Oryctolagus cuniculus: one gene and its partners. The protein of the gene in region 1 interacts with the protein of each later gene in a pairwise test. Links are inferred from orthologs where the notes say so. Each region holds a gene or a part of one and is shown in the gene's direction. Other genes may lie near its edges. The genes, in order: LIN7A, MPP2 and PALS2.

Region 1 (3,656 bases):
AATAAACTACAAAATCTGATAGGACAAGTCTTCCTTTTCACTATTTTTAATGTTTTCAAAATTATCTTGACTGGCACACTTACCCTTCCAGATGAAATTTAGAAACTTCAATTTACATGTTAGCATTATCCTTGAGGACCTCACTGTGTGCCATCCCTCTAACTCCGAGTCCCATCCAATCAATTCTGGTTGCATTCTGGTGCAGCTTTACCCTGCTTATAGTCTGGCTACGGATGTAATAACTAGTAATAAATACTAATAGCATTAGACTCCATTTGCTGTACTTCCTGAAATTTCAACCCTGGGTCTTGACCATGATAACCAACTTCAGAATTGTTTCTTTCGGGTGAGAACACCGAAGCTTCCCCCTTTGAGAGATGTCACTGCCTTTGCAGAGCGTGGAAGGGGAACATCACGAGAAAGCTGTGGAACTGCTCAAAGCCGCTAAGGACAGCGTCAAGCTCGTGGTCCGATACACGCCGAAGGTCCTGGAGGAAATGGAGGCCCGCTTTGAGAAGCTGCGGACGGCGCGGCGTCGGCAGCAGCAGCAGCTGCTCATCCAGCAGCAGCAACAGCAGCAGCAGCAGCAAACGCAGCAGAACCATATGTCATAGGTGAGAGGTGCCTCCTGCATGGGAGAGGCCTTTAACCATCAGGGATATATTTTTTTAACCACAGTTCCTTAGATAGCCAAAGTAAAACGAATTGTTGAGTTACGTGTAATCATCCAAAAGAAAGTCAACTAAACAAAAGACAGTGTGCTCAAAATTTGCAAGCCAGAGTGTATGCGTCTGCCACAGGTGTGGCATCTTCTCCACAGGTGTGAGGTGTTTTAGAAAACAGCATGCAATTCTCTAGGAATCCGTTCATCCAAATTAGGAAATGCAGCGTCTGTGCTCATCCAGAGCCTTGAGTGTGAGTGTGAGCTGGATTCCAGGCACCACTCACCCGCCTTGTAGAATGGGCTTTGCACGGCGTTACACTGTGCAACCCAGTGCGGACCCTGGAAGAAGCTTCCTTAGCACATGGAGATGATCGCAGTTTATTAGGAAAAGACCCCACTGCAAAGAACATCAGCAAGATTCAGCTAGTGGCCGTGTTCTTCGAGATTTTGGAGCTCTTATTAAGTGCTCATTTAAAATGTGTCTAAGATGCCCCTGTCTTTTTCTAAATTCCTCCTGGTGACAAAGAGTATTAAATCAGGTTTTTGCTATACCTTTTCAGGAAAAAAATGTTAATATCAAGTCACTATGTTTGAATTGCCTGCTATTTGCTAAGCCCTTACCGCACGTTATCTGAAATGCTCAGAAAAACCCTTCAAGGCATGGACCATTAAAATTCCACTTTTTAAATAGATGATCTGAAGCTGCAAAACCTATCAGGATTTCCCCCATCACCGCACTTACAAAGAAAATAGGATTATTTTCCTGCTTACTCTACCAGGCGTTTCATCTGTCAACATCAGATGATCTGGAGTTACATAACTTTCCCTGTCTGTCCTTTGGAAATGACAGTTGAAAGTGCCTGCAAATGTGTATTTGAAATGAGGCTTTCAATTTTTTTTTTTTTTTGGAAAATAACAATAGGTAATGGTGGTTTAAGTCGTGAAGTATCAGATTACAGTTTGCACAGAAATATTTGATACAACATGATGCTCTCAGTTTTTGTAACACTCGTAAAGAGGAGTTCCCTCTTTACATCCTGCATAGGGAAGCTAAAAAAAAAAAAAATATATAGGACTTGTCCTTTGGCAGTCTTGGGATTCCAACAATCTATCTTTTATAACTAGCTAGCTTTATTATATTATATACACTGTATTTGATATCTCTATTTAAAATTACACTCTCTTATATTCCAAAATTACATTTATTGAACAATAAATATTTATCTGTTACTGCTAGGATCCAGGCACTGATTTAAAAGCTGCAGAAGCACCCTGAGCAAAGCACAGTTCTTGCTCTCATGACGACTACATGTTCACCTGGTTGGAGTAGACAGATCCATGAAAATATCCTGTTGGGACTAGTATTTTGCAGAGTTATAAAGGAGTGTTTCCATAGAGACAGGCTAGGTGATGACTCTAGACTGGGTGGCAGGGGAAGAACTCTCAGAGAAGGTGACAGTCAAGGTGGGGACTGAAGGGCAAGGGCAAACCAAGAAAGAGAAGGGCAGTTCCGTGGCAGACAGGGCCTGTGTGATGCTGGAGGAACGTAGCGAAAGCCCGAGTACTTAGATAATGGTGCATGAAAGGGCACTGGCGGATTACGAAGCCAGTGAGATCGCTGGGGCCAGGCCGCAGAGAGCTCCCTAAACCGCTAAGGGAAATTGGATTTTACTGCACTAGAGGCCACTAAAGGCTTTCAAGCAAGAGACTGACCTGATGTGATTTATGTATTAAAAAGACCCCACTGGCTGCTGTGAGAGTGGATCCTTGCTGGCTGGAGGCTAATAGAGAATATATGTAGAAGTAGTAGTGCAGGCAGGAGCGGGGGTGGCTTGGGCTAGGCTGATACAGTTGAGATTAAGGGCTGTAGTCAGGCATGGACAAGCCATCTTGTCCAAAGCCTTCTCCTGCTCTGATAATAATGCCAACCCACTAGTCTTAACCAAACACTGATGTTCTTTCTGCTGACACACAATTTCTTCCATCTTCAGTAATACAAATGTATACCAATTCCTTAAATTCATTTACCACATTGGCCCAGGGTAATGTTGTTAAGAAATATTTTGAAAGAGATATGTTGCCATCTAGACTTCTGCCATCTTACTAAAAGCTTCCAATATTATTATGTTCATTCAGTCATCTTTGGAAGTATACAACATGGACATAAATATTTGCTGGGCTGTGTACTCAGTTCTGTTTCTTTGTTCCACTAGTTTTTGTGAAATTACCTCAGAACCACCAACAATAACATTCTTAATAAAAGACATTTATAGACTATGCTTTTGCTTGCATAGTATGTACATAAATGTACATAAAATTTTATGTTTGCCAATATAGCATTTGCAGTACACTTGATCACAGTACCTTGAGACGAAATTCTAGTGGCCATTTCAAGAACAAGGAAAATACAATCAAGTCATGGCATTCATGAATTCAATAGTAAATTTGAGGAGGTCTCCATTAGCTCTTATTTAATTTTTAATTAATTAGATTTTTAAGGACTAGATGGGATTTGTTACACTTACCAACCCAAATTATCGTTGCTTTAAAAAAAATAGACTTGGGCCGGCGCCGCGGCTCAATAGGCTAATCCTCCACCTTGCGGCGCCCGCACACCTGGTTCTAGTCCCGGTCGGTCGGGGTGCCGGATTCTGTCCCGGTTGCCCCTCTTCCAGGCCAGCTCTCTGCTGTGGCCCCTGAGTGCAGTGGAGTATGGCCCAAGTGCTTGGGCCCTGCACCCGCATGGGAGACCAGGAGAAGCACCTGGCTCCTGGCTTCTGATCAGTGTGGTGCGCCGGCCACAGTGCGCCAGCCACGGCAGCCATTAGGGGGTGAACCAATGGAAAAAGGAAAACCTTTCTCTTTGTCTCTCTCTCTCACTGTCCACTCTGCCTGTCCAAAAAAAAAAAAAAAAAAAAAAATAGGCTTGACCGATTTAACTTGGAATGTGTCTCCGGATTTTTTTAAATTTGACCAATCAAGCAAAGGCCAT
Region 2 (3,041 bases), on another chromosome or scaffold:
GACTCTTTGTACCTTAGTTTTCTGTAGAAAGTGAGATGGAATTAATCCTACCTTGCAGAGCCCTAGTGAGGGGCGTGGCACTTTCTAAAGCCAGGCCTGGTGGCCTGCAGGGAGGGACTCCTGCCTGGACTCTGGGGAGGAGGATGGAGCAGGCTATGGGAGTGCGTTGTGGACGCTGACCTGCTGTTGACCCCCGTGCCTGGCAGGAGGCAGACCTCAGGCGGACAGTGGAGGAGAGCAGCCGCATCCAGAGGGGCTACGGCCACTACTTTGACCTCAGCCTGGTCAACAGCAACCTGGAGAGGACCTTCCGGGAGCTGCAGGCTGCCATGGAGAAGCTGCGGACGGAGCCCCAGTGGGTGCCCGTCAGCTGGGTGTACTGAGCCTGTCCCGGGACCCGAACCCGTCCCCTGCTCCCCTGTGACTCCAGCCACCATCCTCAGCCCCCGTCCCCGGCTCCCTGGCTTGCCCTGGGTAGCAGCCACCAGCAAGCCCTGAGGTCTGGCTCCAGCAGAGAGGCGAGCACTGCCAGGGAGGTGGGTGTTCGTGGGGCACCTCTGTGCCCAGGTGCTGCCCACTCCCGATGTCCATTGGCTACCAGATGTCCCTGTCCAAGGGCCCAGCCATGCCCAGGGTGTGTCAGAGTCTCCTCCGCCTGCTCAGTGCAGAGATGGGAAATCTGCTTTGGGACCACGTGGTCAGCAGGTGCACTGTCCCAGCCACCTCTCCCCAGGCACCTTTCCTCCTCCGGACTGGCCACAGCCCCCAGCTCCAGGGCCCCTGCATGTCTCACCCCTGCCTCCCGGTGGGTGGGGCTGGCCTTGGTCCTTGTTGGCCTGGGCTGGGGGAACGGGCGGGACTGCTCTCAGCTCGGGGAGGGGCAGGGACCAGGAGTGGATGTGGCCTTGTCCCTCCTTCCTCCACAGCGTCTCACTGCCTAAGTCTCCCCTCAAACTTCTCCAGCGAGTCCCTGCTGGGTCAGCCCCACCCCTGGGGGGGGGGAGGCGAGGCTGGCGGGGCTGGGTGGGCTCAGCCAAGGGAGGGGTGGCTGGAGCCTGACCCTGTGACGGGGAGCCCTGGGCGCTCCGGGGTGGGCCGGGTCTGGTCGCCCTGCCCGTAACCTTTGTCCAGGCTCATCTTCCTGGTAAGGTCCAGGTGGCCCACTTGGGTCAGGGCTGCCCCAGTGGGAGGCCCTGGCCTGCCTGGCCATGGCCCCACACGCTGCATTGCTCTGTGGATCTGGCGCTGACGTGTGTGTGCATGTGTGTGTACGTGTGTGTGTGTGTGTGTGTGTGGCTTGGTTGGGGGAGGCTTGTTTTCTTTTAGAGGCCCCTTTTTGGGGGTTCCCTGTCAGCCCCCGTTTCTTATGAGACCCTGCCCCAGATTCCTGAGCCTTGGTCCTCCTTGGGGTCTTCCTTTTCTGATTGCCCCCTCCCCGCCCTAAACGTCACCCCTCAGTCCCTGGGAGGGCAGTGTTGTGAAGTAGACCCCCTGTTAAGAGAAGTGCTGTCCTGGATGACCCCAGGCACCTGCTCCCCCTCCTCGTCTGTGCTCCTGCCCCAGGTGAGCCTGCCCTCGCCAGGGACCCCAGGGGACCCCTGCCCCGTGTCTGGTCAGTTGTCACCATGGTGTCAGCCAGAGCTGGCCCCTGAGCCACTGTGTGCCCGTGTCCTGGGGAGGGGAGGGAGAATGAACAGAATTATTTATTACAAATGTTAGAAATATATTTATTATATTAGAACCTCATTTTACATTTGCATAAGATATGCAAATGAGAGGTAAGGGTCCACCTGCTCCCATCTCATTTGCATAGCTCTGCATACACTATGCAGTCATCTTTATACTCTTCTTTGCCCCCAAGTCAGCCTCTCTTTTGTGCCTGATTCAGCTCTCCCTGTCTCACCCTCATCCTCACCCTCAGCTTAAAAGGGCCTGGAGTGGGAAGAAGAGGGGTCATTTTCCTGCTGACTTGAGGCTGTGGGGTAATTGCTGGTCCCACCTCTCCTGCTGCAGCCACCCCTCCCTATTGGTTGGTGTGATTCTGGCAGCTTTGCTACTGGTGGTGCCCAAGGGGTGGGGCTGGGTCCCTCCTCTTGGGGCTGAGCCCATGCCAGGCCCGTCCTGGGTACCCATCAGGTGGGGGTGGAGTCCCCATCACCTGGAAGGCGCTGGGGCTGTGTGGACTGGAACAGGTGTGTGCCCACCGTGTTTGCTCCATGGCTGTCCTCCTCTCTCAGAGGGGACCTGAATTAGGGGGACTGCAGGAGAAGGAGGACCCTGCCCACTGCCCACGCCCACGCCCACGCCCAGGCCAAGCCCCAGCCCCGTTGCCTCCCCTGCCCCTCTGGAGCCATCACTTTCTCGAGTTTTCTCTGTGTTTTTCTCTTTTCCTTTGATTAAATGAAAAAGCAAAGGCTTCTGGGCTCTGGGTTGCTTTTGTTTTAGATCTATGTATTTGAAAGATTTTCCATCCTCTGCTTCACTCTCAAATGACTGCAACATCCAAGGCTGGGCCAGGCGGAAGCCAGGAGCCAGGAACTCCATCCAGGTCTCCCACGTGGGTGGCAGGGGCCCAAGCACTTGGACCAGTGGCTGCTGCTTTTCCAGGCACATTAGCAGGGGGCTGGGTCGGAAACTGAGCAGCCAGGACTCAAATTGGCACTGTGGCACAATGCCATCCCCCTGACGTTGGGGTGGGGTGGATGGCTTTGGGAGAGGTTGAGAGCCTGGAAGCACAGCACAGATGGTTCTAGAATGCAGGTTGGAGCCACATGTCTTGTGTTCTGTGATGCCTGCCTCTCCCCATCCCACACTCTCCCCCCCCCCCCACCACCCAGGGACGAACTTGGGACCAACGTGGCAGGTGATCTGGAGGCAGCCGTGGGGTGCCCACCAGCCCCAGCTCACAGCTCTGGTGGGAACAGAGCATGGATATTAAATCTGCTGTTCTGAAGAGCCTCTGACCAGTCCCAGCACAAAGGGTGTTGTCCCGGGCAGCTTTTCTCCACTTGGGTCACAGCCTCCCACCGCCCTCTCTCAGA
Region 3 (3,340 bases), on another chromosome or scaffold:
GCCATTGCAAGTTGGGTTCCATGATCAACATAGGCCATAAGATGAAAATCTTTCTTAAAAGGATGATACCATTGAACTAGAAAGCAGTCATCTGCAATAATTCTTTTATTACCTTCAGTTCACCCTAAGATTATTGTCAGTAGACTTTTAATTAGGAATCTTACCCTCAAATCAGTGAAACAGAAAATAGAAGATACTTAGAAATGCAAACATGAATGCAAATGAGACTAGGATGTGAACAGGCAGCAATGTCTTTTTTAATATTTATTTATTTGAAAGGCAGAATTACAGGGAGGCAGAGACAGAGGTCTTATGTCCACTGGTTCACTCCCCAGATGGCTGCAATGGCCGGAGCTGCGCTGATCTGAAGCCAGGAGCTTCTTAAGGTCTCCCACGTGGGTGCAGAGGCCCAAGCTTAGGCCATCTTCTTCTGCTTCCCCAGGCCATAGCAGAGAGCTGGATCAGAAGTAGAGCAGCTGGGACTCGAACCAGTGCCCGTGTGGGATGCCAGCGCTGTAGGCAGTAGCTGCTACGCCCCAGCGCCAGCCCCAGCAATGTCTTTTAACATTCTGTGTAGTTTTTGAGGGTTAATATCAGAATTATGATACACACACATCCAACATACTTATTTCTTAAGCACTTTTTGTTGGAATCTGAGCAAGCAAATCTGTATTACAATACGAGCATTTGCTTTTAACAGGACTCTGACTTGAAGAAAACAGTGGATGAAAGTGCCCGGATTCAGAGAGCCTACAACCACTATTTTGATTTGATCATCGTGAATGACAATCTAGACAAAGCCTTTGAGAAGCTACAGACTGCCATAGAGAAACTGAGGATGGAGCCCCAGTGGGTCCCAATCAGCTGGGTTTACTGACAGTTCAGTAAGGTCAACAGTTAAAACTTGAAAAGTGACTGAACAAATAAACCTTCTGCTGAGAAAAACACATGTACAGATAGAAGATACCTGCTAAGCCCAGGCATTTTTATTGTGTAGAATGAAATAACTGTACACTATTCTGAATTTTTATATAAAATGTGGTTGGGAAGGTGTACTAATATATAATTTATCTTAATTTTTCTAACTTTTTATGGATAATCTTTCTATTCATATCACATAAAGAAATGCGTTGAAGCATTTTGTATATGTTTTGATTTAGTACCCTTGCCTTTTTCATCAAAGGAATTTTCAAATCATTCACTCTGACATTGGTCTCACATTTTCACTGTGATAATGAATACTTGAAATAGTTTTGTAAAGCTGTCATTTAGTTCAGTATTTAACCAGTGAAGGGTTCGTTACTCTTCTTAGGAGAAAGTAGTAGTTATTGATCTTCCTTCTTAATTAAATATCCTACAGAAGCAGAATTTTAATGGCAGTGCTACAGCCAGTCTACTACCATCTAAATCTGACATCAGAAGTCTGTCCAGTGCCACATATTTCTGTTATTTCAGCCATGTATGGCTATCCACTCTAATTTATACAGATACCAGTTCTTCCCTTCATTTATGTCATTAGAAAATGAGCAATACCTTGCCCTCTCTTACGAGGTTATTATTTTCATTTGTTGGTAGTTACATGCTGAACACTCACTAATTTAACATGCACATGGTACGCTCTGGGGTTGGAAACAAGGTCACAGAGACTTGAGAGTGCCTTATCCTGTAAAACCTTGCAGCAAAGTGACACTTGAAGAAAGTTTATTTTCACACGCAAATTTAATGGACAGAGGTGAACCTACTAATTTGGACAGGTTTTGATTTTCTTATATGTTGTGTATTAGGTTGTGGTCCGCCAAAGTCTCGTGCCTCCACACATATCTGAGGTATTCCTCTGAGGTTGCAATTGGGGGTTTTCGTGAATGATCAGTATGTGTTTTGAAATGTGATTTGATAATTAGGGTATATATCCTTGTTGTGTTGAAAACCAAATCAGTTCAACAATTTACACGATTTGGAAATAACTGTAAGCTGTTGTATACATACGCACGCACACACATAATATATACACTATATAATATGTATTATATATTATATAGTATATATGAACATTTTTAACATTTCTGTTAGGGAATATACTTTTGGTTTAATGATTAGGAAAAAAATTCTGTAGATGGCTTTATATAATGTACAAATTGTCACATTCACCTCATTTAGTATCTTCCTTTAGCATTTTTGGATGCCATAAATTCAGAAACACATTCAGAGATGCAGCTCATCATTAAACTAAGTTAACTATATTTTCTACTGCTGCTGGCTTCTCACACAATCTTCACTCTTAAAAGCACTAGGTGCTCAGATACTAGCGTTTGGTGACAAGCACCAGGTGCCCAGCGGCTGAGTTTTTCTCCTTCACCAAAGCTGTCACGGGGCATGCCAGTTAGGAGGATTTTAAGGGAAGAGAATATACAAGCCGTACTCACAGGCTGTTTTAGAAACAGCGCTTCATGATACTCAAGTTGCTGTATTGTTGAAATTAGAAATCTGTAGGGTTCTTGTTATTTTTTTAATTCTAGAATTTCATAGCCAAGAACACAAATTCATGTTCCTTGTGCTGAGACAGGAATTTGTTGACAGTTTCTTGTCAACTCTGGAAGCTTTTAAACCATATATATTTCTACCAAATTCTTGGCTTCTCAAAGCAACACGCATCAAAGCACACAGTATGGAGGTGATATCCTATGACTTAATGTTTCAACACACTACAAACATTTCAGTTCTGCACTCTCAGGAAATGTGCGGTATTCCCTGGTGCACCCTGGCACTGCCGCGTGGAGCTTGTTTAAATAGCTTTGGCATAATTGTAGCAGTGCAAGAAGTTGATCCGCAAAATATTTCAACCATGTTGGTGCAGTAGAGATGACTTCTGCCTCATAAATATTTTAGCCTTATCATGTAATATAGAAATGCATATTGTTTAGAAAATAGCCACTTAAAGGAGTTTTTTCTATAAATGGTGTTCATGAATTACTATTTTTTTTAAAGATTTATTTATTTATTTGAAAGAGTTACACAGAGGAGAGGCAGAAACGGGGGGGGGGGGGGGGGTCTTCCATCCAATGGTTCACTCCCCAATTAGCCACAACGGCTGGAGCTGCTGATCTGAAGCCAGGAGCCAGGAGTTTCATCTGGGTCTCCCACATGGGTGCAAGGGCCCAAGCACTTGGGCCATCTTCCACTGCTTTCCCAGGCCATAGCAGAAAGCTGGATTGGAAGTGGAGCAGCCGAGACTCAAACCAGCACCCATGTGGGATGCCAGTACTTCAGGCCAAGGCGTTAACCCGCTGTGCCGCAGCACCAGCCCCCATGATTTACTATTTAATTAGTGGATATTAGAGTC

What was found.
Region 2: the proteins of LIN7A (region 1) and MPP2 interact in binary tests that used the Homo sapiens proteins (3 or more experiments, as listed by UniProt). The two-hybrid records come from large-scale screens. The link is inferred for Oryctolagus cuniculus from reciprocal best matches to the Homo sapiens genes LIN7A and MPP2.
Region 3: the proteins of LIN7A (region 1) and PALS2 interact in binary tests that used the Homo sapiens proteins (3 or more experiments, as listed by UniProt). The link is inferred for Oryctolagus cuniculus from reciprocal best matches to the Homo sapiens genes LIN7A and PALS2.

What each region holds. Positions count from the first base shown.
Region 1 is NC_091442.1:83,607,791-83,611,446, reverse strand, and holds part of LIN7A (protein lin-7 homolog A), read left to right. Parts: intron 1-395; coding exon 396-614; intron 615-3,656. UniProt on the Homo sapiens protein: Plays a role in establishing and maintaining the asymmetric distribution of channels and receptors at the plasma membrane of polarized cells.
Region 2 is NC_091448.1:19,289,406-19,292,446, forward strand, and holds the end of MPP2 (MAGUK p55 subfamily member 2), read left to right. Parts: intron 1-206; coding exon 207-383; 3' UTR 384-2,416; downstream 2,417-3,041. UniProt on the Homo sapiens protein: Postsynaptic MAGUK scaffold protein that links CADM1 cell adhesion molecules to core components of the postsynaptic density. In CA1 pyramidal neurons, required for synaptic KCNN2-containing channel function and long-term potentiation expression.
Region 3 is NC_091447.1:16,512,949-16,516,288, forward strand, and holds part of PALS2 (protein PALS2), read left to right. Parts: intron 1-700; coding exon 701-877; 3' UTR 878-3,340.